2 linked regions of the Tamandua tetradactyla genome follow. The protein of the gene in region 1 purifies or fractionates together with the protein of each later gene. This does not show direct contact. Links are inferred from orthologs where the notes say so. Each region holds a gene or a part of one and is shown in the gene's direction. Other genes may lie near its edges.

The links. The genes of interacting proteins can lie anywhere in the genome.
Region 2: the proteins of YAF2 (region 1) and TFDP1 purify together in Homo sapiens (affinity purification with mass spectrometry; 3 studies listed by BioGRID and IntAct, counting the BioPlex papers as one, with this or other methods). This does not show direct contact. The link is inferred for Tamandua tetradactyla from reciprocal best matches to the Homo sapiens genes YAF2 and TFDP1.

Annotation. Positions count from the first base shown.
Region 1 is NC_135333.1:101,733,328-101,744,360, reverse strand, and holds the start of YAF2 (YY1-associated factor 2), read left to right. Parts: upstream 1-6,326; 5' UTR 6,327-6,505; coding exon 6,506-6,531; intron 6,532-6,962; coding exon 6,963-7,088; intron 7,089-8,837; exon of another isoform or gene 8,838-9,219; intron 9,220-11,033. UniProt on the Homo sapiens protein: Binds to MYC and inhibits MYC-mediated transactivation. Also binds to MYCN and enhances MYCN-dependent transcriptional activation. Increases calpain 2-mediated proteolysis of YY1 in vitro.
Region 2 is NC_135330.1:184,323,082-184,333,507, forward strand, and holds the start of TFDP1 (transcription factor Dp-1), read left to right. Parts: upstream 1-5,723; 5' UTR 5,724-5,843; intron 5,844-5,853; exon of another isoform or gene 5,854-5,968; intron 5,969-6,037; exon of another isoform or gene 6,038-6,060; intron 6,061-6,400; exon of another isoform or gene 6,401-6,529; intron 6,530-6,651; exon of another isoform or gene 6,652-6,673; intron 6,674-7,115; exon of another isoform or gene 7,116-7,252; intron 7,253-8,005; 5' UTR 8,006-8,069; coding exon 8,070-8,081; intron 8,082-10,426. UniProt on the Homo sapiens protein: Can stimulate E2F-dependent transcription.

The DNA of each region.
Region 1 (11,033 bases):
TGGACTCTGTGTTCTTCCTAGCCTGCCCAGTATGTGGCCCTTGTCTGCCTGCGGGTCCCACCAGCATAAGGTGATGCAGTACCTTTAACTTCAGCTGAATCTCATGCTGGGGGCGTAGTGGAGACAGAGGAGAGGTTGTAGGCTGGATTTAATCGCTTCAATTTTCCAAACCCTGGGGTCTGAATTCCTTGAGTCAGGGAATCCACCTGAGCTGGGCCCCACCCCTCTCCTGGTAAAGGCACAGGCTCCAGACAAGCTCTCCAACAAGCTTGTTGCTGTCTATGCCTGGGGCAGTTGCAGCCTGAGAAGCCTTGCAGCTGTATCCAAAGACAGTGTAGCCTTTTAGAAACACAGCCACAAAAAGCAAAAAAAGAGAAAAATCCTTCTTGGAGCAGGACCCCCATTCTTCAGGTTTGCCAATCAAGAGAATAAGTTGTATGTTGCTTTGTGTACCTTCAGATCCTACGTGACCGCTCCTTTCCTTCAGAGCCCAGACCCTTTCAAGTATTAGGTACTATCTGATCCAAAAAAACCTCTGTTTCTTTCTTTCTTTTTTCTTTTTCTGTCAGCCCTGCCCCCTCGGTGCCGGGGCAAAAATCAGCATCCTCCGCTTTGACCAGATTCAGCTGAGCTGGGGGCCTATTTTTAGTAGTCAGAACTTGTTAATTAATTCCACAATTGGAGCTTGGTTGTGCTCAGCCCCTGCTGCTGGTAAAGTCCCTTTCCTTTCCCCTCTGGGAAGCAGCCTGTGGGGGAGGGGGACCGGCTGCCACGGCTTGGGGAATTCATGGTTCTGGGGGGCTTGCAGCTGGTCCAGCTGGTCCAGACTGGGGTATGCTGTGTGTCGGGGCACTGACATGTCCCTAGGAGTTGTTCTGTACTGTTCCTGGCTATTTAGTAGCTGTACTGGAGGACAAACTAAGTCCCACACTTCGCTAAGCCGCCATCTTGGCATTCCCCTCTGGCAATGACTTTTTAGATACAACTCCAATAGCATGCTCCATAAAAGAAAAAATTAATAAGTTGGACTTCATTAAAATTTAAAAACTTCTGCTCTTTAAATGACACTGTTAAGAGAATGAAAAGATAAGTCACAGACTGTAAGAAAATATTTGCAAAAAGATATTTGCAAAAAGATATCTGATAAAGATTTGTATCCAGAACATACAAAGAACTCTTACATTGTAACAATAAGAAAACAAACTACCCAATTTAAAAATAGGCGAAAGATCTGAACAGAAACATCATCAAAGATGTAAAGACACTAAACATTGTTATTAAGGAATTGCAAATTAAAACAACAACCATGAGATACCACAATTTCCTGTTAGAATGGCTAAAATTCAAAACACTGACACTACCAAATGCTGGCCAAGGGTTGTAGCAACAGGAACTTTCATTACCGGTGGCAAAACGAAAATGGCTTAGCCCTTTTGGACAGCAGTTTGGCAGTTTCTTACAAAGATAAACCTAGGCTTATCATATAATCTAGCAATTGAGTTCCTAGGTATTTACCCAAATGAGTTGAAACTTTACGTCCACACAAGCATCTGCACATGAATGTTTATAGCATCTTTACTCATACTTTCCAAAATTTGAAAGCAATAAAATGTTTTTCAGTAGGTGAATGAATAAAAAAACTTTAGTACATTGATAAAATGGAGTATTATTCAGTGACTTTTTAAAAAAGGGCTATCAAGTCATGAAAAAAATGAATATTGCTAAGTAAAAGAAAGTCTGTGAAGGCTACATACTATATGATTACACCTTATGATAGTCTCAAAAAGATAAAACTATATGTGCTGGTTTGAAAGGATGTATGTACCCTAGAAAAGCCATGTTTTAAACCTAATCCCGTTTTGTAAAGGCAGCCGTTTCTTCTAATCCCTATTCAGTATTGTATGTTTGAAACTGTAATTAGATCATCTCCCTGGAGATGTGATTTAATCAAGACTGGTTGTTGAACTGGATTAGGTGACGACATGTCTCCACCCATTTGGGTGGGTCTTGATTAGTTTACCAGAATCTTATGAAAAGGGAAACATTTTGGAGAAGGAGGAGATTCGGAGAGAGCAAAGAATGCTGCAGGACCATGAAGCAGAGAATCCACGTGCCAGCAACCTTTGGAGATGAAGAAAGAAAATGCCTCCCAGGGAGCTTCATGAAACCAGAAGCCAGGAGAGAGAGCTAGCAGATGATCTGTGTTTGCCGTGTGCCCTTCCAGCTGAGAGAAATGTTGAACATCATCGCCTTCTTTAGCGAAGGTATCTTTCCCTGGATGCCTGATAAGACATTTCTATAGATTTGTTTTAATTGGGACATTTTCTTGGCCTTAGAACTGTAAACTAGCAATTTAATTAATTCCCCTTTTAAAAAGTCATTCTGTTTCTGGTATATTGCATTCTGGCAGATAGCAAACGAAGATCAGTGGTTGCTTGGGGCTGGGGTGAGTGGGGGGTGGGGTGGGATAAAAAGGTGGAGTAAGAGGTATTTTTGGAGCAGTAAAACTATTCTGTTTGATACTGTAATTGTGGATACATGACATTATGTGCTTGAACCAATAAAAATGTAGAACAAAGAGGGAACTATGGTCTCTCGTTAATAATGTATCAATGCTGGTTTGTAAGTTATAACAAATGTCTAACTAATGCAATATGTTAATAACAGGAGAAACTGCGTGCGTGGAGGAGAGAGAGTATATTGGAACTCTCTGTATTCTGCAATTTTTCTGTAAACTTAAAATTGCTCTAAAAGATAAATCTATTAAAAAAAATAAGCCAGTCAACCTTATGTGCACATGCACACACACACACACACACACACACACACACACACACACACACACACAAGAGTCTTCAGTGAAGTTTTTATGCTGGCAACATATAACTTTTATAACCAGCAAAATCAGTAAAGGTATTTTCATTTTGCAAAAACCAAACAAACAACTGATTGAACAAACAAAAACCAAACAACCTTTTAAAATGTGATTGGTTTTACAATTGTGGCTTATTACTGACTTTCTTCATTTTGCATTCTATTCTCAGGGAAGGTTTGTGGTTCAGCTTCTCCCTTAGTCACAAGTCACGCTCTTTTCTCTCAAATTCCAGTTGATAAACAAACAAAGATGGCACTCCTCATTTCAGGCAACCTCTGTTGTCTAATAACTATACTCATCTTTAAAGCTTAGTTTTTTGTATATTTTTTTAATTGTTGTGTTTGCCTCATAGACATAAACTCAGGGCTAAGCAGAAGAGCCTGGGTTCTCAGGGATCCTACCGTCAATCTCTTGAACTAAGACAGAAGTTCTCGATCTTTTTTGACACCTCCACAGACAATATATTACTGTGTACCTGTGCATGTGAAGCCATGCAGTTTCAGAAACTTCTCCAGTCTCTCCAATTCTAGGAATCGTATTAGAATGGAAATGAATATTATTATAGCGATGACCTTTTAATTTCTTTAAAATTGTTAAAGAATTTCATTAGAAAATATCAGAACTTTATTGCCAAACTGTTAAAAGTATTGTTAAAGTACTCATGTCACTTTACAAGTGATGCCAGTGAACTGCATTTCTAAAGGATGGAACTTTGTTATTGTATCAAAGAGTCATCTAAACCTGGGTCATTCTTCCAGATAGTAGGGAAAACATTTCAGGAAAAATGGTGTGACTTTTGTGGTGAAGTAGGAGGAGGTGCTCCTTGTACTGGTGTCTCCATGTAAGCTTAAAATAGGAAGGAATTTTTAAAAGAGATGTACCCAGTAAATGGTAGGCAGCTAGTAGATTGCAAGGCATTTGCTTTTGCACTCCACAGAAACTGGGTCTAATTCCTCGTTCTTCCATAAGAACTGTCTTGCAAAATTGTAAATTTCAGTTTGCAGACTTGTTATAAACACCAGCATTTACTGAGCATCTACTGCATGCTAATATGCTTAAAAGGCTGTGAAACCAGTATGAAAAAACACTTTATTCAAGAACTGTGACACAGGTGAATTTATTCATTCTCAGACTAGTTATTGAGTGCTTATTACCTGCCAGACTTCTAGAACTAGGGATGCAGTGACGAAGACAACAAATAAAAGTGCCTGCCCTTTCTGAGCTTACGATTTAGAGGTGAAGTTTAATTTCTAGTGATGGAGTTTATATTCTAGCAAAATGGTGATTTACAGCATGGAGCGTTTTTAGAGTGCCTGATTTAGTTTTCTATTTATTCAAAAATACATTTTGCATCCCTTTTACAAGCAGACCGATTCTAGTCAATCTTTTTGATGATCCATCCAGTTGAAGAATTTAAAACATAATGCCTTAGGATTGGAAGGGACCTGAATTGTTATAATTGTTTTAACTTCATTTTACAGATGGAAATAAAACTGAAACCTAACTGTGTTTACTGCTGTATTACTGAGAGATGTAACTATCTCTTATATAACTATAAGGCTGAGAAAACTAGGCCTTAGATCCATGCTTTCCTCAATCATAGTCTCGCCTTCTAGGGTGAAACAGTCTGAGTTGAGAGAAGCAACACTTGCAAAAAGAAAAAATGGTGCTACAAGTTCAGAGACCGCTGTAAATTGGACTGATATGGTTAATCAGAAAGCATAGCTTAGTGGGAGACTAATAGGATATCTGAGTGCTAAACTTGAAAAATTCATTAAAGAGAAGCCATTTAACCCAGGCCCTAAACTCCTTGTCTTTAAAACGAAGGTATGCAACTAGATGGTGAGAACTAACATTTCATAGCACTTTGAGCTCTTTAAAGTATGCATCTATGTAAAAAGATTTGCAAAGTGCCTGGCAACGTGGTGCTCAAAATTGTTTTGTTTTTTTTTAAATAATTTTTAATCCCACAATAACCTCATAAATATAGCTGTCATTTTGCAGATGCAGTTGAGAATTACAGAAATTAATCAAGTTTTCCAAGGCTCATTGGTTAAGGAACAGTGAACCAAGCCGAGAACCCAGGACTCTGTACTGTTCTGTGTATGTGTGAGAGGGCACGCCAGCGTGTTTCTTCTATATTAAGACCCTACTAACTATAATATTATTTCATATATTTATAATCATTTTATATAATATTATCCTATTGAAGTGAACCTAGAAAAATGGGCAGAAATAGCACAGGCACAGAGGAAAGAAGGAAATATTCAGTGTAGACGTAAAATGTGCACGAAGGGAGAGTTTTGGGAAGGGAAATATTGAATATAACCTATCAGTGTTTGCTAGAAGGCAACTTCTCTGAAGAAAGATGGGGAGTTAAGGGAAATTTGAGAAAGGCCTGGCAGAGTTTGGAACCTGTTAGGTTTTTGAGCAGAGCTGTGGCACAATTTTAATAGCCTTTTTTTTTTTTTTTTTTTCATGGGCAGGCACCAGGAATCTAACCAGGTCTCCGGCATGGCAGGCGAGAACCCTGCTGCTGAGCCACCGTGGGCCGCCTTGTTAACAGCCTTTTATAATTAATCTGGTTGTGATTTACTGAATACATGGGATGGCAGGGCTAGAGCTTTAGAGACCGCTAGTTAAACAGCTGTTGCTCGAATCTATCTTGTTTTCACAAGGTGAAAAGGTCCTTCAGTATTTGAGGTAATGAGACTCTGGGAGAATACGTGAACAGGCAACATCGTTCCCTTCTTAGGCAACAACGTTCCAGGCATATTATTATCTTAAAACATGGCTTATAAGTATTCGTTTTCTTTTAAGAGCATCTCCTGCAGAGGTCTCTACGGCCAAAGAAGCGCGTTTGGAATCAAAACAGGTTAGAGTCCTGTTTTTGCCATTTTCTAATTATGTAACCTAGAGGACGTCACCAAACCTCTCCTGAACCTCGGTTTCTTCCTTTAAACTAAGAGCAACAATCCTTACGAGCATTTGCGTAGATTAAACCAGACTGTTTTTAAGACACCTAGCAATGGCGCTCACTGTTGGTTCCTGCCTGCCTTCAGGTATCCTTTGGGGAGGGGTGTTGAGTGGCTAAGGGCCGCCCGGCAGGGCACTCGTGGTCCCGAGCCGGGCTGACCTCGAGAAGGCTAGCCCCACCTTTGACCAGGCTTTGAGCGGGATGACGGAACATCTCCTCTGGCCGGCTGGACAGACGCTTCAAAGGGTCAGAGGGGATCTACATCACGCGACATCCACAGCCAGCCGGGATGCCGAAGGGAAGCGCCTGGAACAGGACCGAGAAGCTGCGACGCCGCCTAAAGCTGCGGCGGCCGCCCCCGCAACGCCCGCAGCCAGCGAACTCGCCGCGGGTGCTGGGCCGCGCTGGCAGCGTTTGAAGTCTCCGGCGCGGCCTCTGGTTGGCGCGCGCGGGTCACGTGCTCCCAGGCAGGAGTTTCCCCGACAGCTGGAGGCTGCGTGGGATCCGGCGGCAGCTTCCCAGCTCGGCGGTGCGGCCTTCCCCGCCCCCTCCCTCCTCCCTTCCCCGCCCGCTTCCGCCCGGCTTATTATCTTTCTTATTGATAAACAGAGCTGCCGCGGCGGCGACTCTCGGCGTGCACTGATAGCCAAGCCATGGGAGACAAGAAGAGCCCCACCAGGTAAGAGCGCCAAGGCCCCGGGGCCCGGATTGTGCCGGCGGCAGCGCCCTCGTGCCGGGCTGGGGCGGGCCCCCTCGTTCGCCGCCCGGGCACCCGGACGAGAACGGGGGCGGCGCCGCTGCTCCACGAGCGCTGGCGCGTGAGGGGCTGGCGCCGGCCGCCCCACAATGGAGCCGCGATGGCGGCGGCGGCCGGAGAGGCAACCCCCTGTGTCAGCGGCGGCGGCTGCAGCGGCGCTCGCGCCTTCCCGGCTCTTGACTCCCACTCCTCTTCCCTCTCGGAGCCGAAGCGCTGCGCGCCGCTGGCGGGCGGGCTGGGGGGGTCGCAGAATTGGGGCCGGGGGGCGGGGCGGGGGCGGCCGCGGAGCGGGGGCGGCGGGCGCGGCCTGTTGGTGACCCTGCGCCGCGTCGTGTCCGGGTTGTGTCCTGCAGGCCGAAGCGGCAGCCGAAGCCGTCCTCGGATGAGGGTTACTGGGACTGTAGCGTCTGCACCTTCCGGAACAGTGCCGAGGCCTTCAAGTGCATGATGTGCGATGTGCGGAAGGGCACCTCCACCCGGTGAGTCCTGCCCCGCGCGCGGCCGGCTGACTGATCGCGGCGCAGAGGACGACCCTGCGGCTGCCGCCCCTTCCCGTGACATTCGCAGACCGGGCAAGAGGAGGCGAGACTGAGGTGGTGGCCGCGATAGGAATTGGGTCAGATTGATCGCGACCCAAGTGATGGTTTGCGGTGTGGGGTAATTGAAGAGGCTGCAACGTTTTTTATTGCCAAGAGAGAATAAATTATTTAAGCGAGACATTAGCTACTGCGATTTAATTCGTATCGCAGAGTGTAATGCCCTCCTCCCTTCCCCCGGATATAATAATGTTGGCCGCATTGTTGTGTTAGTGTGTGGGGATCAAGGAAAAACCATGAAATCCAATTTAGGAGCAAAGGGTGTAATTTAATTTCGTTCCTTAAGAAAAAAAAAGTGTCTGATTGTAGAATGCACAGTAGATCAGATTTCTTTTTTTATAAATGAGTGCCTGGAAGGGTCAGATCAAGGTTTGTTTGGTGTTTTTATTCCACTTCTCTAATATTTTATAGATAAGTAGTTGGAGCTGAGCCAATCAATAGAAACGCATTTTTACTGAAATTATCTGAATATCTTTACTTCGATTAAATGGCAATCAATTAGACGTTAAAATGAGATGAAATGTTCTCTGCCTGTTTTCAGTTTTAACGCTGTTTTGTAGGCTTACAATGTAATAATTCTGTCTTTTAAAAAGCTACATAAGTGAATTAAGTGGATAAAGAAAATCATCCGGGGTAGTCAGTTAATGACATTCTTGTCACCAGCTCTTACTTACAAAGTTCCTTTGCTTTTACAGAAAGGTTGCCTTTCAATTAATTCAGTTTAATTCAGTCCTCTGATTTATGGCTTAATATTTAGATAATATTTGTATTTTGATTTCAGTCTGTTAGTGATTAAATTATCACAGTAATAAATATACTAATGCTGCAAAAAAGAGGGCCTAAATAATGTTGACATTGGATTTAAATATTCAATCAGGATTAGATTCTAAAAATGAGATATCCAGATTTTTTTTTTTTTTCTGCACGTGGGCAGGCACCAGGAATCGAACCTGTGTGTCTGATATGGCAGGCAAGAAATCTGCCTGCTGAGCCACCCTTGGCCTGCCTGATACCCTGATTTTTAAACACCGTTTATAGCATTTTATTAAAAAATTCTAACGTGGAGATAAATGTTTAAATTTTAAACATGTTTAAACAAAAGTTTAGATTTTTAAGGTTTTTCTCAGTGAAGTTAACTTTTTTTATGTGCCTTTTTTGTAAATCATGAAATGCTTTTTGCATATTCCTTTTACAGTGGATACAGTATATTTAACATTTTCACGATATCCTTTATAAAGGACACTTTCAAATATCTACTGCTAAATTTAAGGAACTAAAACAACAGAAAAGTTCAAAAATAGAAAAGTACCAATTTGCTAAAATGAACATAGTAACCACTTTTGGACCCGTGATTTAAGTATTTTGAAAAGTAGAGTATCTCTATGGGTAAATAGGTTGGAGTTAGCTTAGATTATATTTGTATATCTATGAAAGCATTTTATACTATTTTAAATGCTTATAAGCAATTCTTAGAAAAAAAATTTTTTTTGGAGGCAGGAATTTTAAAGTGGAAACAATTATTATAATCTTAATCTCTGGTACTATATTGTTGCTTTTTGTTGTTCCCTCTCTATTTTCTTTTAGCCATTAGAAAAATACTGAAACTAGAAGAGCCTATATGTTTATTTGCAGGGACAGCAAGGAAGGGGGGAAGCTGGTGTCCTACTACTCCACAGCCAGTCTTGGGGTTAGAGAAACCCTGAGAAATAGAGTAGGTGGTGGCAGCTCAGAAGAGAAGAAACAGGCTGAATACCTGGCACCTGGAAGAAGAAGGAATATAGTGCACAGGGAAGTTGGCCCAGGACAGAGAAGTGGGCCTAGTTTAAAAGAGGCATGAGGCCCACATGAGGGCCCCTGACATTTTTTTACCGGTACTTCTGAGCTCTTGTAGATCCAATTTTTAGTGGTCGAAACATTACTTGAGGAGGACTCAGAGAAGCATTGTCATTTGGATTGAAACTGAAGAGGCTCTGGGCAACTCACCAGAAGTCTAAGGGACACTCTGTTCCTAAAAGTAAGTGTTCTTCTACACTGCGATCCTCTCAGCTTCTTCCTTCCTCTCTTGAATTGTCTCTTCTCTTTTGATTTTGGCCCTAAGTTAAACCTATGAGCTCTAATTTCTTTATTATCTTTTATTTTCCTACTGTTGTTTCTGAAATTTAGAGTGGAATCCATGTTTGGATGGAACAATAGAACAGGACATTGTTAATAGGACAGATATTGATTGTACCACAAAATATTTTCCTCTCTGGTGATACTAGGAAACAGGATTGTAGCATACATTGAGAAGCAAAAGTTGGAGTGGTTGGAATAAATAATTCTCTACTGACATTAATTAGTAATTAGGTTAATTTGAAGGGAACGGCTGCATAGTACCAAAGCAAGGATTAGGTAGCTGCAGTACAGAAGGATGTAGTTTGCTAATGATTTGTGTGACTGACACACAGGATTTGAATCCCTTGGGTCAACCTGACCTTTAAACTGATTCTGTCTCAGTCTCCAAAAGTGAGGCCAAGTCTAAGCCATCCTAGACATTTGAAAATCTTTTCTTTAAATCTCTAGAGAAAAATGAATTCATCATTCCCCATCAAAGTCTTTATTGACCTTTTGTTTTTAAGAATATCTGGCTCAAATCCTTTTAAACAGAAGATCATTTCCTTTGTCTATATCCCTGGTAGGTCATGTTCAGAATAACAGTATATGGAATGAAATGAGCTTGCATTCATAGTATGTATTTCAAAATAAAATGTGATTCGATTCCTTAACCAATAAATTGATGTTATATTCTTTATATTTATGTGCCTATGATTGAATTTCAATTTTTGTGCTTGCTGGGCTTAATGAGTTTATTTGATCTGTTAAACTTTTTATGAAACCAGAACCTCAATAACTAGATAGCTCAAATACCTGATGTTTTCTGCATCGTGCTTTTGTGAGAGAAATGTGATAAATATCAAACTGACAGAAAAAAGTAAAAAAGAAAAATCTGTGGTCCTAAATGATTGTCATGGGTGCTACAAATCTTAATTTCTTATACGGTAATCAGTGTCATAGATGTAAACCTAAGGAACATTGGGAAATGAACCATTCTGAATTATCAGAGAAAAAGAAATACTTAGCAAGGACAGTAATCATGTATGGTGATTGCTTTAGACTAGTATCTTATTATCAGTTCGTTGTATATAATTGGAAAATCATTTCATTGCTTAATTCAGGTAACATGCATTTGAAAATGAAAGTGATAAAGTTATTTGGTTTGGTTTTGAACTATGGTCAAAGTAAGAACCTATAAAATAAAATGCCTGGTACATAATAGGCTTGCAAGTATGATTTCCTCTTTGCCTGTTTTCTTGGGGCAAATTTTCCTTTAGATTCCTCATAGGTGATATTTTAGAGAACTGTGAAAAGGTTTCATACAGTAGAAAGAGCAGTAGATATTGGATGAAGGAGTCTGGGAACCTGGGTTCGTATCTCATTTCAACCCCTTCGACATTTAGTATTCGGCAAATGTTTATTGAGTATTTTACTTTTTCAAGGCCTGAGCTAGGTACTAGACATTTAATGGTGAGCAAGATAGATATTTCTTTGTTTCTTCTGTAAAATTTTAGAGTCTTGTCAAATCAGCAACACTTAGAACTGAACCAAATTCTGTATATGAGGTAGTATTAATAAATCTTTCCTTTATGTGTCAGCCAAAGAGGTGAAATTTCTGCATTAAAAAAAATTTGTTTACTCTAAATACAGTGTTATGGTTAGGATGTGATTGTTGCTAAAAGGAATGAATTATTTCAGTTTCTATGAAATGGGAGTAAACTATATAGAATTCAC
Region 2 (10,426 bases), on another chromosome or scaffold:
AGTGGAACATATGGATTAAAAGTAAATAAATTTTAAAAAAGTAAATAAATAATAGGGGGAACAAATGTTAAAATAAATTTAGTAAATTGAAATGCTAGTGATCAACGAAAGGGAGGAGTATGGAGTATGGTATGTATGAGGTTTTTTCTGTTTGCTTTCTATTTCTTTTTCTGAATTGATGCAAATGTTCTGAGAAATGATCATGATGATGAATATACAACTATGTGATGATTTTGTGAGTTACTGATTATTTAACAAGAATGGAATGATCATATGGTAAGAATGTTTGTGTTTGTACTGGTTATGTTTCATAAAAAAATGATTATGGTGGAGAATACAGAACTATGTCATGATATTGTGAGCCATTGATTGTATATCATGTATGGACTGTGTGTTTGTGAAGATTTGTCAATAAAAATATTAAAATAAAATGAAATACTGGAGAGTAAAAGAGATATCAATTTAATGATTCAGCATTCGGATTCATTTGTTAAATCCTATCTTCTCTGTTCATTTGTTAAATCCTATTTCTCTGTATAACTCCACCATCACCTTTGATTTTCCATCCTTCTCTTTAGGGGTGTTTGGGCTATGGGAATTGTAAATTTTTCATATTGGAAGGATCTGTCACTAATATGGGGTAGGGAGATGGAACTATTTGATGTTCTAGAGAGGCTGGGCTAGGTTTCAGGACTTATCTGGACCAGGGACCCATCTGGAGGGTGTAGGTTTCTGGAAAGTTACTCTAGTACATGGAAAGTTTATGGAATCTTATATATTGCTCTAGGCATTCTTTAGGATTGGCTGGAATGGTTCTGGTTGGGGGTTGGCAGGTTATGATAGGTATCAATGTCTAATTGAAGCTTGCATAAGAGCCACCTCCAGAGTAGCATTTCGGCTCTATTTGAAGTCTCTCTGCCACTGATAGTTTATTAATTACACTTGTTTCCCCCTTTTTGGTCAGGATGGAATTGTTGTGCCTCATTTTTATCCATATGTTCTCTCTGTGTGACTCCCACTCCCACAGCTTCACTATCATCCATATGCTGACAACAGTTGCATCTGTAACTTTCATCTTGAGCTTGTGGTGCACGCTAGTCTTGTATTTTCAACAGTCCATTGGTTATCTCACTTAACATTTCTCTCGACCTTGAAATTCAACTTGTCAAAACTACTCTTCTAAAAGGTCCCCTTTTCTTATTTTCTAACACAGTTGCCCAGCCTAGAGAAATATTATGATCACATCTGCCTTTTTACTTTTCTTCACTCAGCACCATCCATATCTATTTCCTGTTACTTCAGCTTCCAGAATGCCTCTGGAATCTGGTCCCTGCTCTTCACTACTACCATTATTTTATTAAAGACCCTTATCATCTCTTAACTGAATGAGTTCAGGAGCTTTCTATAGCAAACACTTGTATTTTGGAGGCTCTTTGGTGTCTGAAGCAACTCCTTTTATTCAAGAAATCCACTATTATTGAATATATGTGGAAGGCAGGGTGCTACTTCCAACTATGGATGGCTAAGAGTCAATATTTTCTTTCCCTGACATCTGGAAGCTAGACTATTGGATGAAAAACAGCAACTTCAACTGGAAGTAACTGCTAATTGTCTCCCATTATTTGTTCTCTTTTCTTTTATAGATCTTCAAATTCTTAGGTGGGTTTATGACTGCCCAGAATAATGACTATATTTCTAGCATCACTTACAGCCATGCGTGGCCATGGACTAAGTTCTGGCAGGTGGAACTTAAGCTGATTTGAGCATTTTCCAAGATGTCTTCTTATGTGTGTATGTGCACACACACACACACACACACACACACACACATTCATCTGCCCAAAGCCCATCTCGAATGTCACTTTTCTGTGATGTCTTCCCTGAACGCCTACAGGGAGAAATAATTGTTTTTGATTTTGTGCTTCCACCATCCTTTTTCTCAGTCATGAATATAACTTCATCTTGTTTTGTAATCTTTAATTGTATCTGAATCTGTTTCTCCTGTATGACTCTGAGCAATCCTGTGTTATTAATGTGTATAATAACAGCACCCAGAATAGTATCTGACACATATTAGCAGCTCAAAACTGTTTGCTGAAAGAGGAAAGCAAAAAAGGGAACACTTTTGAAATTGTGGTTTGTGTGCTTATCAAAGAACTATATTTTTATCTAGTTATTTCACAGCTAAAGGAAATCCAGCATCAGAGAGGCTAAGATGACTTACCCAAGGTAATTTGACTTTCCTTGATCCCAGCTTCATTTTAACAGGTAAACCTAAGATCCTTTCTGGCTGAGTTCTTTTGAACCTGTTAGTTAAATGGTCAAATAGTAGAGAAATGACCAAAGATATTCAATTGAATGTAAAGTCAAGTTTCTTAAATCAAATTATACTGAAGGCTTCTGGTGCTAGTATCACTCCTGTTTGATGGCAAATGGATTCTATTGAGGAAGGAAACGATATAAGGAAATGATATAAATTGAAGAACTTTAGAGAAGAATATAATCTTTTTTTTAAAAGCATAACAGAAGTCTATTTTCTTTTAACAGTTTGATATATTAACTGAAAAAAAGGAACAAAGCAAATATAAAAGGGTGGAATGAAATGTAATTATAACTTAACAGTAAGTAGAATTGAAATTTATCAAAATTACATTTTGTAAGAATATAATCTTGATATCATCCTAGCCAGAGCAATGTCAAGTTTTAGAGAAGGAACACCTTAAGAAGCTGTGGAATTAAATGCCAAAGGAAGGAAAAGATTTCGCTCATTGCAAAAACCAGAGAAAATTGCAGATAAAAAGCAAATGAAAAGCATCTAGGTAGTAGACACTTCAGATTGTAAATAATTGTTAAAGTCTTTAAGACAATCATCATAAAAGCCTAACAATGTGATAGTGTCAAAGGCTGATAGACTAAAACTTTCAAGGCGACTGTAAGATTTGACTAGGAATTTTTTAAAGGAGTAATGAGGTAAGAAATATTAAGAGAGAATTGAAAATATCTTCATGCGTTTAAGTGATGGCGGGGTTGGGTTGGGGTGGGGGACTCCAGAATTTCTATATAGGTGGGAATTAAAAGTGGTGACTTAGCTTGAGAGAGTGTCCAGGGGGTTTATCTTGAGGATGAAGAAGCATATGATTTATATTTTATGAAACATATGAATAAACACATCAAGAATTTCTAAAAATGCTTTTACCTATGTTTTACCAAAGAATGAGAAAATGTCATTTGTCCATATCAAGGAATACAGTTTAAAATGTCCACTCCTTCTCTCTCATAAACTCCATGAGCCCACCCCCCTCCCTCCCTTCCCATCACAGACCTCTTGATATCACCTTGGCTTTGCTGGTCAGAAAAGTCTGAAAAACTGAGGCAGTGGCTGGAGAAAAGACTGGTATGATTTAGGAGAGAAACCAAAGACAAATTGCACACCTATCAAATAAATTTAGAATTAGAATATTTCAAGGGATTAGAAAATTTTCCCTTACTCATTAAGGGACAGTTTAATGGGGAAGTGGGTGGAGGAAAGGAAGATTTGTACCATGCCCTGAGACTCAGTAGACTAGAACCTTCTCAGACAGAGAGAGAGCTTTGGGAGATGAGCCTTTGCCCTTTTGGAAAGGGCCTCATCACTTTCTTTTAACAAAATGCAGAACATTTCCATGTCATATCCTGGATCATAACGACAAATCTGGTGTCCATAATATCTATCACAACAATAGAGGGCTGAATGCCAACACTGGGGTATGTATCAAACCAATACCCAAATGAGTACATCATTAAAAGAAGTATGTTTACTAAACAATGCATACCCAAGACATTGAATGTGGAAGTATTAGATAAATACAGGGTGTTATGGGTTTATTAAAGAAGGAGGTTCATTTCAGGAATCCAATTTAGAATTTTTAAGGCAAGGCAGGGGCTAAAAATACTTGGATCTTCAACCAAAACTTTTAGAGAGAATTCTGTTCTCTTTTAACACAGAAATGGGGGCTTTTTTTGGTACAGGATTTGACTAAGGAAAAAGCTTTTTTTCCCCTTTTCTGGCAAACCAGAGCCTCAATGAGCTTTCAGAGATAGGTACATTCTTATATGTGAATATAAGAATATTTCACAACAGTAATTTTCAGGCAGAAAAATTTCCCAATAATATTAGATGTAGTTTCACCCTCTGTAAATATTGTTGAATGACCAGAATCTAGAATTTGTAGGGAAGGAGTTTAAGATTCCACATTATGATCTTTCTTTCTTTTTTTTTTTTTTACGTGGGCAGGCACCAGGAAGGGAACCTGGATCTCTGGCATGTCAGGCGCGACCTCTGCCTGCTGAGCCACTGTGGCCCACCCCTATATTATGATTTTAAGTTTACGTCTTCCTAACTGAGCCCCTAGGTCTCATGGTGGGGTGCTAACTAAAGTGGCTACCTTTAGTTCCAAGAGACTGGGAAACCAGGCTAACCATTGCAATCATGGGTTAAATTTAAATTTAGTCAGAAGTAAATAATTTCTGTAAAAGACTGAGGAATGGAGATAGGAAAATATGACATTTGCAGAACATAATGGAGGAAAGTTGGTTCTGAAATCATGGGGGGTTGCTAATGGCTGAGTTGTAAAATTTTCACCAGCAAAGAGTAATGTTATTCTATGGATATTAATTTGTAGGACATTTCCTCTTGGTGCCTTTTATTCATCTCAATCATCAATGTTTCTTTAAATACCCATTGTGCACTATTCTGTACCTAGAATATGAAGAGTTTTGCATTAACTTTTCTTAAAAGAAGAAATGTTAATCAGCTTGCTAATAGTTTAAGACAAGTGAACAGAGATTTAAGGGATCTGTGCATTACTAAAGAAACAGAAGTGGGTGTAATCAGCATAAAAGTGGCTAAATTGTGAAACCATGCTAAGTGGTGTGTGTGGGGTGTAATGTAATAACACGTTGCACACGGTGCGCCTTTGGTCTGTGCACCTCAAAGTGCTTTGCAAACGTTAATTATGCATCACACTTACGAGGCGGCGAGGTAGGGAGGGGAGGGCTTGGACACTGCTGCCTAATCCAGAACTGAACTTCCGACTCTACTCAAGATGCACCAGTCAACCCTCTGTTGTGTTTCTTCACCCCCTTATGGCTGAATCCACCCACTGGTCTTAGTAGCTGTGAGGTCGAAGTTGTGACTACGTCTTCAGAGATAAGGGTTCAACAAGCCCCACCGGCGATGAGGTCGCTCCGGCAGTCAGAGGATGAAACTGGGCTGCCTGGTTTTCCCTTCGGAACCCACTTCCGGGATGCCTCCCCGGTGGGCATCGAGGATGCATGGAATTGTGTAGGAGCTGGGTGGAGGGTGGTCGTGGGCGTGGAGCCGTGCGGTGGCTGGGTGTCTGAAGATTCCTCGCCTCCAGGAGGCCGCGGTGCCGAACGCGCGGTGCCGGGCCAGGAGCTCACGCCGCGGGAGGAAGGAGCTTCCGCGCCGCGCGCCCACCCGCTGCCACACACGCTCGTCGCCCGGCCTCCTCTTTCCTTCTCTCCTCCGCACACACTCTCGGACACACACACACACACACACACACAAACACAGATACACCACACACACACACACACAGAAACATCCACAAGAGCCCCTCTCCCGGCGCCAGGCGGGGGCGGAGCAGAACAGGCGGGAGGAGGCAGGGAGGGAGGGAGGGAGCCAAAGGCGCGAAAACGGCGCGCAGGCGCGCCACGCTCCCCGAGGCGGAGCGCGCGGGGGTGAAACTGACACTTTGGGCCAGTCTCTATGGGGCCGCTCGTGGCCGCACGTCACCGCGCTCCCGGCACGTCACGCCGGCTCGACGCTCCCGGTACAAAGTGTAAGTTTCAATTTTTTTCCCCCGGTGCCACCGCTCCCGGGGTCGCGGCGACGAGCGGGAAGAGAGTGAGGGCGCAGGGTGGTCTGGCCAGGGCGGCCGGGACTCCCTACCCCCGCCGTCCTCGCGTGAGTGCGGGACCCGGGTGGCGGGCCCTCAGCCTCCGCGTCCTGCATCTCCGCCCCCAGCCCCGCGCGCGAGCGTGGACCGGGCGAGCCAGGTGCGGGGCGCCGGCCACCCCCACGCTGCAGGCGAAGGGCGGGTGCGCGCGGGCCGCGGGCGGCCGGGGCTGCCGGAGGGGAGGGAAGAGGATGCCCTGGGGCGGGAACCCGGAGAGGATGGAGAAGGGGGGTGTTGGGTGTTGAGACGCCTGAGTCGCGGGAGGATGGAGCTGGGGGATGGGGCGGAGGGCAGGGCGAGCAGCTGGTCCTGGAGGGAGGGGGCACCGGGTGGTCCGCGGGCGCCCGGCCCGAGAGGCGGTTGTGGGGCGGGCTTGGGTCGGGGCCGGCCGCCGGGCGCGGGGGGCGGGACCACAGCGGCGAGGGGACAGCCCGGGCCGGACTGGTCCCCGGCGGGCCGGCCCCTCGGCCCTGCCCCCGCCTCGCCTGCGTGTGGGCGCCGCGCGCAAGGCTCGGTGTCTCCTTGGGGCTCTTTCCTGGTGCTCTGTGTGCGCCGCACATGTGCAGTCGGTAAACCTTCCCCCACCCCGCACCCCCCACGCCGCCGCGCCGCGCCTCATTGTAGCCGCTGCAGTTGGTGGTGGGCTGCGGGGCTCGCCGCCGCCGTTCGCTGGGTGGGGGGGTGGGCGGCCGGGGGAGGAAGCTGCTCTCCAGGTGACTTGACCTCGGCTGTAGGATGTGGAATGGAAGAGAGGGGGTGCGGGTGGGGAGTAGGACGCGATTGGGCGGGAGAGGGCCCGGCCGAGGCGAGCGGGTGGTGGGGCTGTTGGGGGACTCGGCTCGTTGCCTGGGAGGGCACGGTGGGGGATCGGATCAGCCGCGGGGAGTCCCCGGGTTGGGGCAGGCGGGGCGGCAGGGCCGGAGCTAGGCCCTCAGGCCCCGGATAAGCATCGTCGCGCGCCCCTCGCCCGCCCGGGGACGCGGGGCCAACGGGGAGGGGGTCGGGGGGCGCCTGTTGCCGGGAGGTGCACCAGGCGCGGGTGGTGGCGGGCGGCTGGGTTGCAACTGCAGCCGGATCCGTCCCGGGCCCGAGCGCGCCGTCCGCGCTCGGGCCCGGGAGGCCGGATCCGCTCCGGCCTGCAGCGAGAGCCTTCGGGAGGGGACGGGGAGGGGCTGACCCTTCCACCGACCTGGTCCTTTCGGGAGCTCCGGGCCGAGGACTGCCGGTTCCGGTGGCGGGCGGGGGAAGGGAGGCTCCTCTCGGTGGAGGTGGCTCCTGAGGCCTAGTGACAGGTCAGGGACCCGGGCGGGCTGGGGGCGTGGAGGTTGAGGGTGGGGGGCTTCGAGCGGTTGGGACTGGCTAAGGTGCCTCTGGAAGCCCACCTGTCAGAGTTAACAGTCTAACCAGGCTTGAATCAGCCACTTGGAGACTGACCACGGTGGGAGAGAAGACCCTCTCAAGAGTTCTTTTGGGATGGATTTCCCTGCGTACTTGTCTTTGTGCAGGGACATAAAAGGGAGTTATATTCCTGTTGGGTGAATATGTGGCAGCTTAGGTTTGCGCATATGTGTGTGTGCCTCGGTTGGCGAAGGGTAGAGATATGTGAGATGAATGTACCTACTGGTATAATTAATGTTATAGGTGAATGCTTTAGAAATGTGAAGGTAATCCAGGCATGTGTGTTCAGGGGTTTTTACCCATTGCTTCTTTGGGTGATCTTGGGAAAAAGTTATGGTACAGTGGCAATGATTTTGGATAATGGAGTTTCTGCATCCTGGTTGTATATGGGATTGTCAATTTAAAGTATGTTTTCAGTTGCTGAAATGACTTTTAAAGTCGTAAGTATGAGTTTTGACTGTTCTATTTTCAGGATTGAGTAAGGGTATGCAATTAGGAAAGGAGGTTCTTGTTTCCTGGAAGCACAGTTGAAGTGGTGGTGGGGAAAATGTCTCTGTAAGATGTGATATTTTATTTACTGACTTCTTTTTTATTCTTATTCATTTCTTGTTTTTCCTTCTTTCTTTCTTTCTTTTTTTGTTTGCCAGAAAAATCATTGTTTCTTCTCTGGAGGGCGAACACTTAGAGAATTGATTTCACGGATCTGGTAACATGGCAAAAGATGTAAGTACATGTTATAAATACTTACCTAGCTTTAATAGTGAGAAGTAAGGAAGTACTAAATTCTTTGTAGTTTTCCCACTTTTTTGCAGAGTGACAGCACATAAACTACAATAGTGTTTGTTTTTAAACTTTTAAAGCAGATGAAACAAGATAAAGGTGAAAAAGAACAAAGAAATCTAGTAGCCTACGTGAAGATGTATGACTTCTCCCTTTGTGTTTTTTGTAATCATGAATGCCTGATGATAAATATTATGTGGTGCTTAAATGATATTAATTTCACTTTTTCTTAATCTTTTCAGACTGCATTAAATTTATAATTTTGAATATATTTATTAAGGCATTCCTTAATTAAATAGAGAGGGGGAATACAAAATTAAACGAGATGGAGAATACAAAATAGTTATGTCGTGGGAGCTCAGTAGTTGCTGGCTCTGTACCTTTTTTCTGATGCTCAGCAGAGAAGGGCGCTATTTACTTCGGATGAAAGTCCCTGCAGAGATCTGGAACTGGGGAGCATTGCTTATCATGAACAGAATGACCCTAAACTTAGGTTGTAAACAGTGTGTACCTGTTTTGTGTAGAGTGAAGGGAATTAATTCAACTTTGAACGTCAACGTGTTTTGGCTACTTTTCCCCCCAGAAGAATGAGATTTGGTTATTAACGAAATGCTGTGAAGAACGCTAGTTACTTTACCTCACTTTGTATCTGTTATGAAACTATAGAGTCATTCTGAAATTTTTTTTAACTTGTTTTAAGAAATTAGGTTTGAGATCTGAGACCATAGCCAGTTTTATTGGTCCATGCAGTTTTTTGCTACACTTTGTAAAATCAGTTAAAATCACCTAAACACCAACCATATTCCTTAGTGTTTCTTAGAATGCATTGTTTTGTAAGCATTAGTAAAAGTAAAATAAGCAAATAACATTAGTAAAAAGAAGGTGTTTATTTATTTACTTAAAATCGTAGTTGGAAGTACAACTCAGGCGTACTGCATCTGCCTAAAACACACAGTATGTAATAAAAATGTATTCATACCTGTTGAACCAAATAATAGATGTTAAGCTCTTTGCATTAGTTTAAAAATGTTTACTGACTTTTTAAAAAGTCTTACTGAATGCCTCGTGGTATGCCCCAAACTCTCACTAACAATTCTTTGTCTACTCATGTTCACCAGGATCCCTGTTTTCAAGCATTTCTGGTTTAATTTGGTACAGAGGATGTGTAAGGGGACTCTGTAATTTTTTCTTTTTAAGTTAAAGCCATAATCTGTATATGATGCAACATTGATTTTATCATCTCCAATTACATTTGTCAATGGCCATTTTACGTGCCGTAAAAGTGCAGGGCAGCAGGACATGTGGTATATACTCTAGAAACAGAATATTTAAATGCTCTTTTAAATGCTGATGCTGCACCTTAATATGTTGGAATATATTTTTGTGTGTTTTGTAGTTTCAAGGAACAGACTTTATTTTTGACTTTATTAAGCACACTTGGATACTTCATTGATGATGTGCTAGAAATGAGAGGAGAGGGAGAGACTTCTTGCTCTCGAAGCCATCAATTCTGCATTGATTTAATTTGGACCCTCCTTCCATGTACCAGATACAGTGTTAGACTCTGGGAATGTAGAGATAAATGCATCAAGGCTTCTGCTCTCTAAGTTGCAGGGAAAGATTCAGACAGTTTACTCTAATGTGATCACTTCTGGAGGAGCAACACCTGTAAGGTGCTGTGGCAGCCAGAGCAAGGGGTGGCCAAGTGGCTGGGAACATTTTGGATGGTTTACCTTGACCTGATTTTGAATTATCCTTTGCAGCACTGGTAGATTACACAGTGGAGGACTGGAGAAGAGTGCGTTAAGATGACAATCACCGGGGTATTTCAGGCAGAGAAATAGCGGTGCTGAAAAGAGGAAGAAATCCAGTGTGAAACCTGGAACCCAGGTTTCATGAGGGGGCTGTTAGCTAGACTGGAAAGGCCTGAAGATTGTGGCCAAGAAGAATTTGGCCCTTTATTCTGTAACCAAAAAAAAAATTTTTTTTTAAGTAGGGGTAAGGCATTTGTGTTTGGTAAGGATGACTTTGGCAGCAGGTATTGGAGAGGAAAATAGAGCAGTAGTTTAAAAACATTTTCTTTAAGCTATGGGATTTTAGTTGAAACCCTATATATAAGGTAAAAAGCACATAAAAATAGGTGGAAGCAGAGTAGCTGTGGTTGGGGGTGGGTGGGGTGGGGGCATTGGTGACTAGAGCATTGCATTCTCCCAGCCCAGCTTTGCACAGCTCTGAGGGCTTCCATGGAGCATGAATGGAAAGAGGAGGGAGACTGTGCCGGGGCTGGG